Linked DNA regions of Chlamydomonas reinhardtii. The protein of the gene in region 1 interacts with the protein of each later gene in a pairwise test. Links are inferred from orthologs where the notes say so. Each region holds a gene or a part of one and is shown on either strand. Other genes may lie near its edges.

Region 1 (7,436 bases):
AGCCACAACATCTCAAGCTGCCCATGCGCGCCTCACGCCACATCACCACACTTGGTGGCCTCCGACAGTCTTGCGAGAGCATGTGTACGCACTCCTCCGCCCTAAAATCAAACGCCTTCCATTGCCCACCCGCCCTCCCACCCATATCCCACGCACGCACCTGAAGTCGTCTTCCTCGTTCACCACGTCCTTGCCCGCCACCTCCGCGGGCCGTACCGGCGGCGGGCTGTGCCGCCCGTCAGCATCCACGTCAGGTTCAAAGAACTCGTCCTCCTCCTCCGAGGCTTCCTCCTCGCCGCCCGCCGCCGCGTCCCCGCCCTCGCCCTCGCCGCCCGCGTCCCCGTCAGCTCCCTCGCCCTTGCTGGTGCCGGCGCCGCCGTCCGTATCCATTTGGTCGGCGCCGGCTGGCCGCGACGGCCCCGCCGCCGCTGCTTCCTGTACAGAGGAGGGATGAAACATGGATGCGCGTGAAGACAGGAGGAGTAGTGAGGACCTAGGCGTGAACGGACATCACACGCCGTAATGTGCCCATTCCAGCCGTGAGCCTTGTCACGTCTGGTTGGGCCAACCTGCCCTGTGTCCAGTGCCCTGTCATGCACTTACCTCCTCGGTCGCGGGCCCCGTGCCCGGCTCTTTGCGTCTCCGCTCCTCGCCCGCCGCCCCTCCAGCTGCTCCTGCCGCGCCTCCCCGCTCCGGCTTCTCCGGCCGCTCCGGCTCCTCCTCCTCTTCCTCCTCGCTGCTGCTCTCCTCCAAGTCCAACTCCGCGGGGTCGCGGCCCTCCGCCAGCGCCTGAAGAAGGAAAGGGCGACAGCCGCGACTGGGTCAGCGCGCAGCACTGGGCAGAAGGTTTGGGGATGTCAAACGCGCTTGAGATGCCGCCCACAAAGCATGCACGCGAGGCGGAAGGGCACGTGAGATGTCTCCCGGAGATGTTATTCAGCGCTGCCTCGACTGTCCGCTGCCTGACAATCTCCCTGACAGCTCTTGTTCCCTGTGCCCTTCTGCCAGCCATCCCCTGTCCCGGCAATCCTTATTACCCGCCGTCCTTCCGGCTAGCCATACCCCATGGCTGCTCCTGTACATATGGCCTGCAAGCCTCATCCACAGCGCGCGCGCCCACCAAATGACCACTATAGCGCCCGGCCGCCCGGTGCGCGCCCGCAACCCGCCCGACTGCCTGCCCGCACCCCGCCCGCTTCCCCTGCTACACGCCCGCACCTGCTGCCGCCGCTCCTCCGCCTGCCGCTTGCGCTCCTCTCGCGCCTGCTCGCGCTTGATGATCTCTGCGCTGATGTGGCGCTGCATGAAGGCCGCCAGCAGCTCCCGCACCTGGGCCTTGGCCTTGTGCACCTGGGGGCAGGCGGGGGCAGGCGGGCAGGCGTGGCGCGGCACGGGAAATCAGGGGCGCAGTTGCGGCAAGGACGATGCACTGCACTTGCGGACGCACCGGACAGCTCGTCCGGGTATGCATCCTCGTGTCTCCGATTGCTTGCTGGAAATGGCGAGACAACCCCACCACCCCAAACAACGCTCCTAACGCCACACTCACCTGCAGCCTCTTGAGCACCGCCTCCCAGTACTCCGGGTCGCCCAGCCCGCCCGACAGCGCCCGCTCCACGTCGCCCTCCATGGCCACCAGCGCCGGGTAGGTCTGGCCTGCGCGGGCGGGCGGGTGGTCAGGTGCAGGTGCGTGGGCACGCGGGGTTGTTTGCTAGCCTGTTTTCTTGTGTCTGTCTAGGGGCTCATCAGGGCACGGTCAAGTCACGAGGTTTCTGACGAACTGACGAGGCACGCCCGCCGAAATGCACTCACCCCAAGGCACCCGCTACAGAACCCTGCGATGGCCTCCCACGCCGCCATGCACGCACGCACCCGACAGCATGTTCTCGATCTGCACCTCCACGTCACTGTGCAGGCTGCTGCGCCCAGCCGCCTCCTCCTCGGCAGCGGCAGCCGCGCTGGCCGCCGCGCCGCCGCCGCCTCCCCGGCCACTGCCACCACCGCCCCCGCGTCCACTGCCGCCGGCACCGCCCTGGCCCTGGCGCAGTGCGGCGCGGTCGGCCGCATCCCTGTACGCGGCAAGCAACGCGCAACGTGCTCAGGACGAAAAGCAACGTCCCCACGGGATGTGTAGTTGAGGAGGGCGTGGACAGCAGTGGACTCAGGGCTGAGGCTTTACCGCACATCCAGATGCGTACGTGCTCTATGCCTGCTCCGCTGCTCCGCTGTGCACCAAGCAACCCTTCCCGGCGGTCGTGACGCCCACCCGTCCGAGGCCCCTAGCAAGCACAGCAAGCCAGCTCCTCATCCATCTCCACGTGCCCCCAACGCCCCCACCGCACCCTGCCCGCACCTCTTCTTGGCCTCCTCCAGCTCGGCGTCCGCCACCACCCGCAGCGCCGCCCAGAACTTCTGATGCAGGTCGTCGTACTTGTCGTACTCCTGTGGCGCCGTGAAAGCAGGTGTGGTGGTTCCCGTTACCGGATGTTTGTTGTTGTTGCTTTCCGGGCAAGAGCTTAGGCACAACTTTCTGCGCTAGCCCGGTTGTGCCTGTTTCGACCGGTGAGCGCCTCCCTCGCCTCCCTCTTTCCTCCCCGCGCCCCTACCCCCGCACGCATGATCCTCGCACCTGGTAGTCGCATATGCCCTGGTGCAGCTCGGTGGCCTCGTCCAGCAGCAGCCCCTCGAAGTAGCTCCAGGGCTCCGTCATGTCGCAGCCGTACACGCCGTGCAGCGACTCGTGCAGGTTCTTGGCGATCTTATCGATGGAGCTGGGCCGGCCCTAAGGGGTGGTGCCGGGATGGGGCGGAGTTGGTGGCAGGCGCGATGGTGGTGGTGTAAGCGGCGGCGGTCGATGACGTGACGGTAATGGTTTCGGCTTGATAAGAATGATAACCCAGTAGGCGCACGCCCGTTTGCCCGCGACTCTTCCTCCTCACCCGCTCCCTCGCCTGGGCAAGCGCCTGCACCCCGGCCTTGCCCCCTCACCTCTGCGAACCGCTTCTCCGCCTTGTTCTTGAGCGCGTTGAGGTAGAACTCCTCCTCCTTGGCCTCGCTCTCCATGGCCTCCTGGGCGGCGCGCAGCCGCTGGATGAGAGACTGCGCGAGTGAGGGTGTTGGGAGGGAGGGGTTAGTCAGTTCCAAGCCCAGGTATGGGGCAGGAGTCATGCCGCAAGGGAAGGCGCTGTGGGCAAGGGCTGAGGGGCGTTACGGAGCAGTCCGCCCGGGCCCCTGATGCCCGTCGCCGTCCGGGTCCCACTCTTGCCCGGTACCAGCGCCATATCACGTGAAATCGCCACGCAGATGTCCCTGGGCAGCTGGGTAGCTGACAACCCCCGATTGCGAGCCTCGACCGTACCCGCCAACCGAGTTTGATAGACTCTGCCCACGACAACCTACTAAGCCCCTGGCAAGCCCCTAGCAAGCCCCTGGCAAAGGTCAGCCCACTGCATGCCACTCCTAACACCCAACCCCACTGATGAAGTTCTACCTGGTCCGGACTTTCAGCACCGCCCGACCGGCCCGTGGCCCGCGTATGACCCAACCCGCACGCACCAGCTCCTCCTCGCGGCGCGCCTTCTCCTCCTCGCGCTCCGCCTGCCGCTTGCGGACCTTTTCAATCTCCTCCTGCGATGGACACAATGCAGAGCAGATGGGGCGGTCAGGCCTCAGGCGTCATTGCCACCTGTCCTCGAGCCCTTGCTCAATGCTTTTGCACCAGGGCACACCAACCCAGCATGAAGAGCCCCTACACCCGCCCTGAACTACCCTTCCCCAACACTACGCTCGCAGCCCGGACCACTCACCATGCGCTCCGCCTGCGAGATGCGCGACTGTGCGTTGGCGATGTCCCTCACGGTCTTGCCGCTCTCCAGCTCGCGCTCGATCTTCTTAGTCCACACAAACGTGGGACCACCCGTGCTGGCGCCCGTTCGCTGCAGGTGGGCCGCCACTTTGGTGGCCTGCGCAATCAAGGAAGCACGGCCGCGGGCAGTGGGGTTGCCAGCCTGAGTGCGGGCCCAGACGGGGCACGGCGGTGCCGACTGCATGTGCCCAAGCTCAGGATACCTCATATCCATTCCCGACATCAAAGGCATTGTTACAGTTGTTATGGTGCCTGTACAGCCCAGTGCGCGGCAAGCGCAGCCAAACTAAACTCGGGATCTTGGCCACCAAGCCCAAAAGCAAGCCTCGGAAGCTCAATTTACGTATCATTGAGAGCTTACCAGTTTATCCACGCGGCGATGCTGCTCGCCCTCCGACTCAGAAGAAGACGAGCTGGAAGAGCTTTCATATCGCTTGCTGCTTTTCTTCTCCTTGCGCTCCTTCTTTGACTTTTTATCCCTGCGCTCCTTTTTGTCCTTCTTCTCTTTTTTGTCCGTCTTGCCCATTTCCGAGGCTCGCCGAGCCTAGGCGCAAAAGCAAGTTAATAGAGCTCAAGTAGGGATCAACGTTGTGCTAGACTCATTTTTACATGCAGTGGCAGATGGCAGTGACAGTTGCTTCTTCCGACTCGGTCTCGTGCTGTCAAACGCGATTAAACCATATCTGTCCTTTATGTGAAAAGTAAACAACTATGGAACTCGTGGGGGCCTGCCGACTGCCAAGTGGGGAAAAATCTGACACACGAGCATGGGGGCGGCACGATGAGAGGCACGGCAGTGACGGCACGCCGCAGGAGTACAGGCAAGCGGCTGGGGCAGCAGGAATAAAGTAACCGTGCACGGCGTGTTATGGTTGTACCACATAACAAACATTTACCATTTCGCACATAGGTAGCCTCAAATGACCGCAAACTGGGGATGCACTGCGCTTGTGCAGTGGGCGGCGGTGGGCGACGAACGGCATGGGTGGGTGCGTGCCGGCGGCTGCTGGCTGCCCACAGCCGCCTGCATCGCTATGCGCGGGCTCTGTGCCAGCCGGACACGCCATGGCGGCATGCGTGGTCAGCCCGGGCAGCCCCTGCCGGCTCAGGGCGCAGCGCGTGGCCTTGCACGCACCCCCGGGCTGGGTGCCGCCTCGGCGACGTCCATGTGCGGGCTGCTTTGCCACGTTGTGATGCTGGCGACTAGTATGCATATATCCAGAGGTGTCTAGAGGGCGGGGGTGGGAGTGGTATGCACCAGAGGGGCATGGCGGCCCAGGAAGCGCACGCGGGCCAGTGCCCGGGCACCGTGCCACGGCCCGACCTGGCACACGATTGTGGCGGTGCTGGCGAGCGCTGTTAGAAATTAGATATACAGGTATATGTGTAAGCCGTAGGTCGCACTGGTTGAGCGGCATTTGGTCTGGCCTCAGGAGTTGTTTTCGCAATTCTCGCGCGGCCGGCCCGGTCGCGAGCCGCGAAGGCTCCGTCTAAAAGTCGCCACTTTCCTGGCGTCGGTTCCTCCATTTGCATATGAGCATATAGGTCGCCTCAAATGACCGCAAACAAGCTGCCTTGAAGTGGGGGTAGCCCGAATCCTAACGAAATGCGGACCCGGCAAACATGTCGACATGCCCACCCACGCGCCAGGTATGGCCCCCGTGCACGGCCAGGGAGCTCCGAGCAAGCCTCTATGGACACACGTCCGAAAGAATCAGGGCTGGGCATTTTTGCAGCAGCCGCGCGGACGCTGGGACCCTCCGTGGGCCCTGCGCCGTGTGGGGTGGCCGGGTGCCCGGACACCGTGTGGCCCGGCCGTGTGGATTCCTGGCGGCCCGAGCGCCGTTATAGCATGGCATCTAGGCTGGCTCAGCACTGAGAGCCGGGCAGGCGCGGCGCACAGGCTCCAGGGCACGGGAGCGGCCCATACCACACCGGACGAGCCGCCCGCCGTCAAGGCCCCCCACACGAAGCACGCATACCTGCACACGCGCCTTGCCCACTCCGCCCCTCCGCGCATCCCCACACTGCCAGCCAGGCTCTGGGTACTACCTGACGTGGGACGGCGCCCCTTCAACCAGTCCCACGCCCGGGCCGCGACTGGGGATGCACTGCGCTTGTGCTGTGGGCGGCAGTGGGCGACGAACGGCATGGGTGGGTGCGTGCCGGCGGCTGCTGGCTGCCCACAGCCGCCCGCATCGCTATGCGCGGGCTCTGTGCCAGCTGGCCACGCCATGGCGGCATGCGCGGCCAGCCCGGGCAGCCCCTGCCGGCTCAGGGCGCAGCGCGTGGCCTTGCACGCGCCTCCGGGCTGGGTGCCGCCTTGGCGACGTCCGTGTGCGGGCTGCTTTGCCACGTTGTGATGCTGGCAACTACTATGCATATATCCAGAGGTGTCTAGAGGGCGGGGGTGGGAGTGGTATGCACCAGAGGGGCATGGCGGCCCAGGAAGCGCACGCGGGCCAGTGCCCGGGCACCGTGCCACGGCCCGACCTGGCACACGATTGTGGCGGTGCTGGCGAGCGCTGTTAGAAATTAGATATACAGGTATATGTGTAAGCCGTAGGTCGCACTGGTTGAGCGGCATTTGTTCTGGCCTCAGGAGTTGTTTTCGCAATTCTCGCGCGGCCGGCCCGGTCGCGAGCCGCGAAGGCTCCGTCTAAAAGTCGCCACTTTCCTGGCGTCGGTTCCTCCATTTGCATATGAGCATATAGGTCGCCTCAAATGACCGCAAACAAGCTGCCTTGAAGTGGGGGTAGCCCGAATCCTAACGAAATGCGGACCCGGCAAACATGTCAACATGCCCACCCACGCGCCAGGTATGGCCCCCGTGCACGGCCAGGGAGCTCCGAGCAAGCCTCTATGGACACACGTCCGAAAGAATCAGGGCTGGGCATTTTTGCAGCAGCCGCGCGGACGCTGGGACCCTCCGTGGGCCCTGCGCCGTGTGGGGTGGCCGGGCGCCCGGACACCGTGTGGCCCGGCCGTGTGGATTCCTGGCGGCCCGAGCGCCGTTATAGCATGGCATCTAGGCTGGCTCAGCACTGAGAGCCGGGCAGGCGCGGCGCACAGGCTCCAGGGCACGGGAGCGGCCCATACCGCACCGGACGAGCCGCCCGCCGTCAAGGCCCCCCACACGAAGCACGCATACCTGCACACGCGCCTTGTCCACTCCGCCCCTCCGCGCATCCCCACACTGCCAGCCAGGCTCTGGGTACTACCTGACGTGGGACGGCGCCCCTTCAACCAGTCCCACGCCCGGGCCGCGACTGGGGATGCACTGCGCTTGTGCAGTGGGCGGCAGTGGGCGACGAACGGCATGGGTGGGTGCGTGTCGGCGGCTGCTGGCTGCCCACAGCCGCCTGCATCGCTATGCGCGGGCTCTGTGCCAGCCGGACACGCCATGGCGGCATGCGTGGTCAGCCCGGGCAGCCCCTGCCGGCTCAGGGCGCAGCGCGTGGCCTTGCACGCACCCCCGGGCTGGGTGCCGCCTTGGCGACGTCCGTGTGCGGGCTGCTTTGCCACGTTGTGATGCTGGCGACTACTATGCATATATCCAGAGGTGTCTAGA
Region 2 (7,376 bases), on another chromosome or scaffold:
AGCGCCCCTTATGCAGTGCGTACGTCATTTCATCCACCCCAACCCTTGCTGTTACCCGCCAAATCCACCAAACCCACTTCATCCCAACCCCTGAAAGCCAAGCTGCTGCTACAGCCAATGCTCACCGGTGAAGCCGGGCGTGCGGCGCGCGATCTTCTCCAGGTCCACGTCCTTGCCCAGCGCCTTGCCGCGCGAGTGCACCTTGAGGATGGACACGCGGCCCTGCACGTCGGGGCGGTCCACCGTCACCTGGCGGTCGAAGCGGCCGGGGCGCAGCAGCGCCTGGTCCAGCACGTCGGGCCTGTTGGTAGCGGCCAGCACGATGACGCCGGTGTTGCCCTCGAAGCCGTCCATCTCCGTCAGCAGCTGGTTGATGGTCTGCTCGCGCTCGTCGTTGCCGCCGCCCATGCCAGCGCCGCGCTGGCGGCCCACGGCGTCGATCTCATCAATGAAGATGATGCAGGGCGCCTTGGACTTGGCCTTCTCGAACAGGTCGCGCACACGCGAGGCACCCACGCCCACGAACACCTCCACGAACTCGGAGGCGGCGCAGGAGAAGAAGGGGGTGCCGGCCTCACCGGCCACGGCCTTGGCCAGCAGGGTCTTACCGGTACCGGGGGGACCGACCTGCGATACACATAAGGAAACTCATTAGACCGTGGGCATCAGACTACGGGCATTTGCTTCAGACACATCGAGCAAGACGGCATCTCACAATTAGGAATGCAACTGGATGGTTGAGCATTTGCTGTTGCCGTAAATTGGACTGTTGCTGTGTATTAAGGGCTGTAGACTCACCAGCAGGCAGCCCTTGGGGATCTTGGCGCCCAGGGCGGTGTACTTGTCGGGGTTCTTCAGGAAGTCGACAACCTCCTGCAGCTCCAGCTTAGCACCGTCGCAGCCCTGCAGTTCAATGTGGGTTGTGGTGGGTATTGGGCGCGGTGAGATGAGGCCGTGTCGAAGCAAGGTAGTATGCGGTCGGCGTGTTGCTGCTGTCGAGCGCCTTGCATAGCCGTGCTACAGAGTCCAGCCCAGCGCTTTTCAGAGCCTATGACCCATGCTCATATGATCATTCCCCAGTACCCATCAACCCAACATCCCCACCAGCACCACCCATCCTCCCAACCCAAGCCCTGTAACTCACCGCCACGTCATCGAACACCACGCCAGTCTCGGGCACCTCCTGGAACTTAGACTTGGAGCGGCCGAAGTCCATGGCGCCGCCCATGCCGCCCATGGGGCCGGCACCGCCACCGCCGTTCTGGCTGCGGCGGAACAGGAAGAACAGGCCGCCGAAGGCGATCAGGGGGAACAGGATGTTGCCGAGCAGGGCGACGTAGTTGCCCTGCTGGTCGCCCTCGCTGACGCTGATGTCCACGCCGTTCTTGGCGAGGATGTCAACCAGGTCGGGATCGTTGGGCAGGACCACGGTGGCGCGGCGGCCGTCCACGGCGGTCAGCTGCAGCTGGGAGCCGTCCTTGGAGAAGCGCACGCGCTCCACCTTGCCGGCCTCGACCGCGTTCACGAACTCGGAGTAGCGCCACTGGTTGCCCTCAGGCAGGGTGTACTCGGAGCGAACCTCGGGTGCAGCCAGGGGCGCGGAGGAGGCGAAGTTCATGGAGGCGGGGGCCTGGGTTGTCGCGGTGGTGGTCGTGGTGTTGGCGTCGGTGGGGGGCGCAAAGTAGTCGGCAGCAGTGGCCACGCCCGCGGTGGACAGGGACAGCAGGGAGGCCAGGGCCGCCTTGGGCAGCTTGGCCACCAGCTCAGAGGCCAGGTTCTCGCTCTGAATGCGCAATGCAAGCAAAGGAAAGGGCTCAGCATCATTCGTCGCGATGTGTGGTTCAGTCGCGAAGCCCCGGTCGAGCGCTCATAGGACCGCTGTTCGGCTCCCATATCCCCACACATGTAATACAAATGCATTCAGTGGGTCGGCCATGTGTGGGCTGGTGGTGGCCACACGCGCAAGCCTACGTGGGCGATGGCCCAAGCAGATCGACAACCCAAGCCCTCAAAAATACCCAATGCCATGTCTATCCCTTATAACCACTGATATTATTGGTGTGTTGAAGCTTTGCAGCACAGATCGATCACTTACGAGCTGCTTGGGCGAGTACTTGGCGGTCACGCGGCTGGAGCGCTTGGGCAGGCCCAGCAGCTGCGAGCGAAGGGCCTCAGTGTTGCGGGCGAAAGTGCGGCGGCCGGCCTTGGAGGCCAGCGCCTCAGGGCGCGCAGTGAAGGCAGACATCTCGGCTGGGGTTCGGGGCTTTGGGACAATAGAGGCTCAAGCACTTAGGTGTTTTGCGTTCACGGTAAGTGTAGTGTCACGTATAGAGTCGCTACTGTATGGAGCCCCAATGCATAATATGAAGTGTTTGGTGGCGCGCGGACGCACTTATGACGTCGGGCTGCATGGGGCACAGCCGCGCCTGTGTGGTCGCGAGCGGTGGTTGTGGTGCGAGTGGTGGAACCAGTCGAGTGGTTGCTTGCGATAATTCAAAGCAACAATTATACCAATACTGAGCTGCTCCTCGCGCAAGAGAGCGAAGGCTCGCCCGCCCGCGCGCGACCAACTGCGACCGCTCGCGCGACACGCACCATCCGCGAGGCCAACCTAGAATTGCCACTATCGCTGCGTTAAACCATTCATAGTAAGCAGTTACAAATAACTCACAGCACCTGCTCACATCCCCGTTGCGCCAGCCTGGGCGGAGTGGACTGCGTTGGCATGTCGGGAGTCAGCTCCGACATGTCCACCTGTTCGGTCCTCAGCGCAGTTGGTGTGTGCCACACAACGGACGCAGCAGGCTCCGCTTACACTTCCAAAATCTTCCTGTGATCGTCGGGGGCCGGGCGGTCCCGGCCCTGGCTACCTCCACACCGCAGCCCCAACCTGAAGCCAACGACCACACACGATCCGACTGCTTTCCGCCCGCCCCTTCGAAGCCTCCCAACCTCCATCTCCGCCTCCACCCAGCACTATACAGCCGCCGCAACACCTGCCCCACCTCCGTAACCACAGCTACCCGTGCCGCCGCTGCCGCTTCTCCTCGCGCGCGGTGCTCTGCTTTTTGAGCTGCTCCCTCAGCCGCTCGAACACCTGCTCGGGCGTGAGGCCCTCCACCGTCATGATGCGGTTGCGGTTGTGCTTGGCGCGCCGGATGTCCAGCTGGGACAGGCGCACGTTGAGCACCTGGGGGGAGGGGGCAGCAGTAGGAGGGAAGGCGCGAGCAGGGGTAAGAAACTAGTGCCGCCATAGCAGACGCTGTCCGCCTAGCTGCTCCCGCCATGCAGATGTGGCACATGTGGGGAGCGGGGGCTCGCACCAGGGTTCCTGGAGGCCCCAGTGTGCGAGCCAACCATCGCCCAGGCGCCTGGGAAACGTGGCTGGCATGCTTTTCCCATTCCTCTCCTATCCTCTCCCCAGCCTCCTCCTCCTGCCTTCATTCAACCTCCCTCCACTCCAAGCCCCTCTCCTCATCTGCACCCTCGCCCCTAACCTTCCCCACATGATCGTGATCTTCTCTCTTTTTGCTTTCTCCTGGTTGTTGGAAAAACCCGCTAGCACCACACACCGCCACCACCGTACCCCTCCTCTCCTCAACCCCCTGAAAGCAACGCGGATCAGGCCCCTCCCATTGTTCCATGAACGGCCACCGGCCGATGAGCGCCCCATAACCCCTCCCACCCCCCACCCACACACACTTACGCACACGCGCCCCCGCCCGCACCTTGCTGATGAGGTCGAACAGCTCCTCGTGCACGGCGTCGCCGGCCATGAGGCCCGTCACGTGCACCCGCACCACGTCCGCCGTGACGCGGCTCAGGCAGCAGCGGTGCGAGCGCTCGTCCAGCTCGATGCGCATCTCCACCAGGCCCGTCTTGTCGGAGCGCGTGATGCAGGGAGGCACCAGCAGCTTGCCCTGGGGGTAGGGGTGCGGGGGCGGGTCGGGGTTGGGGTGGTGGGGAGGTGGGCTGCGGGTACTTGGGATGCTCGTTGGAAATGGGTGGTACCGTACCTGGGGCCAAAGTGCGCAACAAGGAGCCGCCAGGCCCGTCCGCCCGTGCCGCCATCCCAGAATGCCGCCCAGCACCCGCTCTCCCCTTCCGCACTCCTCTTCCTCTCAACGACCCCTTCCCTCTCCCTCTCCCTCTCTTCCTCTTCCTCCTCCTCCTCCTCACCGCTCTCCGCGCGTTCTGGTTGGAGAAGGTTGTGACGGCGTTGTCCAGGATGTAGAGCAGCGGGCTGGTCAGGTCGGACTTGTAGGCGATGGGCAGCTGGCCCAGGTTCTGGCGGTACTGCTTCTCAATGGCGCCGTTCTGGCTGCGAGTTGGGTGAGAGGGGGAGAAGAGGGAGTAGGGGTTGGGTTGAAGTGAGGGAGGGCACGGATACGCGGCAGGGAGGGAGGCAGGCGCGGTTGCGTTGGTTTTGGTCCTTCACCCCTGCCACACCCTGCCCTGCCCTGCACCCGCTGCGAAGGTAACCACCGGTGAGCCCCCTGAGTCCCCTACGTGCGCCGGTGTGAAGTCACGGTGTACAGCGTGCCCTCGCCCGGCTCACCGCTTGATGTACTTGAGCCCACCATCCGTGGTGTAGAGCTTGATGGTATGCTCGTTCGTGTCCACGATGTAAGCCCCGTCCGTTCGCCGCCGTGGCATCTTCTTCAGGTCAGCATCTGCGTGCGTGTGCGGCACTCCGATTTCACTTCTTGTCCGCACGCGAGAGTGAGCGCGAAAATGCTGTCGTCAACCGGCTTCAGCGCTCAGCCCACCTATCGTGAAGGCATGACGTCCAGAATATTTGCAGTGATAGACATAAAGCTTTGCCGAGTCAACGCGGGGCCCGTCCTCGCTGGTAAACGTTAGCGTAGTGCGCTTTGGCATTCTCTAGTTAGCTCGGAGGTCAGGTATCTGTATAGTAGAGTCAAGTCAGCTTGGAGGCCGCAGCGGCAGCCTCCTGCGAGGCTGGAAACTGATAGATTCTTGCAGAGATTCTTGTGTTGTTACGCTTCCTCTGGGCACTGTTCAACTGCTATAGGCGGAAGGGTGCGTTAAAAGAACGGAGTGCTTAAAAACAAGGACCCGCCGTAGCACGGCAAGGTAGGGTGTTGAAGAATGGGCGTGCCAAACCCATTCCATCTGCCATCCCCTCCCGGTGGCCCGGTATGCGTGCCATACGTTATTAGCCTGCGATCCCGTATGCACGCCTATGCCTCGCCATGTCCAGTTCGTGCTGAGACTAGCCCCATACCTTGAACCTCAGGTGCATGTCAAGTGAGCTGTAGGGCTGTCAGCTGCCAGTCGTCTCAGGCGCCCGGGGCCATGGCCGCGCCCGGCCCCGCCTTCCTGTTGCCAGCGACCGCCGCTGCCCGCGCCGCCGCTGCCGGGTTCTTGTGGCATGCATCATGCTCCTGCAACATGACTGCCGGGGCTTTCAGGAGCACTGCTGCAGCCCCGCTCAGCGCCCGCCCGCCGGCGACGGCTGCTACTGCCGAACCAACCCAACCCCGGACGCACCTCGCGCTGGCCACGCCCTGTCCGCGCCACCGGCCCCTGCAGCCACTGCCACTGCAGTTGCAAGCCTTCCACGACAGCAGCTGTCAGGTGGGAGGCAGGATTGGGACTTGAGTTTCGAAGGGCTTAGCTATTGACCCGCGGGCCCCAGGCATGGCGTGGCAAGTGCCCCACCGCGAACAAATGCCCCGCCGCACGCAAATGCCCCGCCATCTCCCTTGGCGCAAGTCAAAGTGTTCAAACACGCACATCTACAGCCGTCGCACAAAGCATCGAGCGACCGCGCCTTTGCCACAAGCACGCGTGCGTCAGCCGGCGGCAGCAGCAGCAGCAGCTCGGCGCAAGGCGACACCACTCCGCGGCCGCGCCGCCCAAACATGGTGAGCGACAGTGGCATGTTGTTGCTATTGACGAGTGCCTGTCCACCGACCAGCGGCTGCCCCAACCACTTCTGCCCTTGCTGCTGCTACTGCCTTTCATGCTGCTACTGCCTGCTCCCACTGCTGCTGCTACTGCCTACATGTGCTGCTACTGCCCTGCCCCCACTGCTGCTGCTACTACCTACACGTGCTGCAGGACACCACGGGCGGCTACATCGCCACCAGCCAGCTGGACGACAGCGGCAGGCGGGTGGACAAGCCCAAGGTGGGGCGTGGAGGTGTGACGGCGTGACGGCGTGACGGCGTGCCGGCATGACGGCGTGACGGCTGGGGGCCGAGGGCCTGGAGCGTGTGCATGTGCGCTTCGGGTCTTGACTTCCTGCGGAATTGCAAACGACTGCGCCCCCGTCTCTATACACTTCCCACCCGGCCCCCCTCCCCACCCACTCCCCACCACCGCCCAGGAGGAGCTCCAGGCTGCCAAGGACGCTCTTCTGGAGCGGCAGGCGGCGGAGGGCAAGATGCCTGGAGCCATGCTGCTGCAGGTACAGCGGGGGGGCAAGAGGGGGCGGAGGGCTGTGTAGGACTGGAGGAGGGGGTTTGTGTCCTCGCCCATCACAATGACGGTGCTCTTGGTGACACGCGCCTGCACAGGTAGGGCAGCCCTCGTATCTGTTCTTGCGCTTCGATAACAACCCTTTTGGGGCTGAGCCCCCCGAGCACAGCGATTCGGGGGGGGGGGCGAAGCCCCCCAGGAACACCAGAAAGGCAGTTTGTGTTCAATCGTTTATAGAGCGATGTTGGCACACGCACTCGACAGTTTGTTGGTGTAAGCGGCTAAGCCTTGGACCACACCCGAACCCCACACGCCACAGGACCGGCGCAGTGGTGTCAATGCCCAGGAGACGTGGGGCAATGTGTCGGCGGAGCAATACGACCAGGGGGCGGCACAGGTATGGAGAAGTGGCGGGGGCCGCGGGTAGCTAGGTGCAAGGGCAAGAGTAGTGCATGAACGCGCACTGCGCACGGACTATGCCAGGCACACGCCAAATGTGTTGGACACGACGCCCCTGATCCCCCTCGCCTTTCCAACAATCTTGGCCGTGTGCCGCCTCCACGCAGACCTCCTTCGTCTCCGCCGACCAGGACGCGACCGGCGCCAGCGCTGGCGCCACCTCACAGTCCCGCACCTCCAACATCACTGCTACCACCACCGCTGGTGGCGGCACCGCCGCCTCTGACGGCGATGCGGTACGGCAGTCGGGCGGCGGCGGTGCGCCCGAGGGCGGCGGCCGGGCGGGTGAGGGTGCAGTGCGGCAGGGCGGTAGTGGCGGCAGCAGTGGTGGTGGGGATGTGGCGATCGGCAGTGGTCCTTCCAGCGGCGCGTGATGTTGGCGAGACATGTGTTTGATGAGCTTGGTACCGGTGCGCACGTGCGGACTGCGCACCGCCGGGGTGCGTGTGTTGCGTGTTGACACAGCGGTC

What was found.
Region 2: the proteins of CHLRE_09g398650v5 (region 1) and CHLRE_12g485750v5 interact in binary tests that used the Arabidopsis thaliana proteins (3 or more experiments, as listed by UniProt). The link is inferred for Chlamydomonas reinhardtii from reciprocal best matches to the Arabidopsis thaliana genes AT1G03910 and AT5G63440.

What each region holds. Positions count from the first base shown.
Region 1 is NC_057012.1:1,344,624-1,352,059, reverse strand, and holds the start of CHLRE_09g398650v5 (uncharacterized protein), read right to left. Parts: upstream 4,542-7,436; 5' UTR 4,392-4,541; coding exon 4,227-4,391; intron 3,963-4,226; coding exon 3,807-3,962; intron 3,628-3,806; coding exon 3,556-3,627; intron 3,100-3,555; coding exon 2,989-3,099; intron 2,783-2,988; coding exon 2,630-2,782; intron 2,443-2,629; coding exon 2,354-2,442; intron 2,070-2,353; coding exon 1,873-2,069; intron 1,657-1,872; coding exon 1,550-1,656; intron 1,351-1,549; coding exon 1,219-1,350; intron 790-1,218; coding exon 604-789; intron 436-603; coding exon 161-435; intron 1-160. UniProt on the Arabidopsis thaliana protein: Plays a role in pre-mRNA splicing by facilitating excision of a subset of introns. Required for embryogenesis.
Region 2 is NC_057015.1:1,686,087-1,693,462, forward strand, and holds CHLRE_12g485750v5 (uncharacterized protein), read right to left. Parts: upstream 5,049-7,376; 5' UTR 4,882-5,048; coding exon 4,770-4,881; intron 4,674-4,769; coding exon 4,559-4,673; intron 4,322-4,558; coding exon 4,180-4,321; intron 3,921-4,179; coding exon 3,729-3,920; intron 3,191-3,728; coding exon 3,020-3,190; 3' UTR 2,645-3,019; downstream 1-2,644. Other genes in the region: CHLRE_12g485800v5 (uncharacterized protein), read right to left, coding at 126-627, 799-903, 1,145-1,783, 2,096-2,245; CHLRE_12g499301v5 (uncharacterized protein), read left to right, coding at 5,320-5,601, 5,769-5,891, 6,088-6,156, 6,356-6,436, 6,767-6,844, 7,014-7,280. UniProt on the Arabidopsis thaliana protein: May play a role during early embryonic development. Probably involved in pre-mRNA splicing.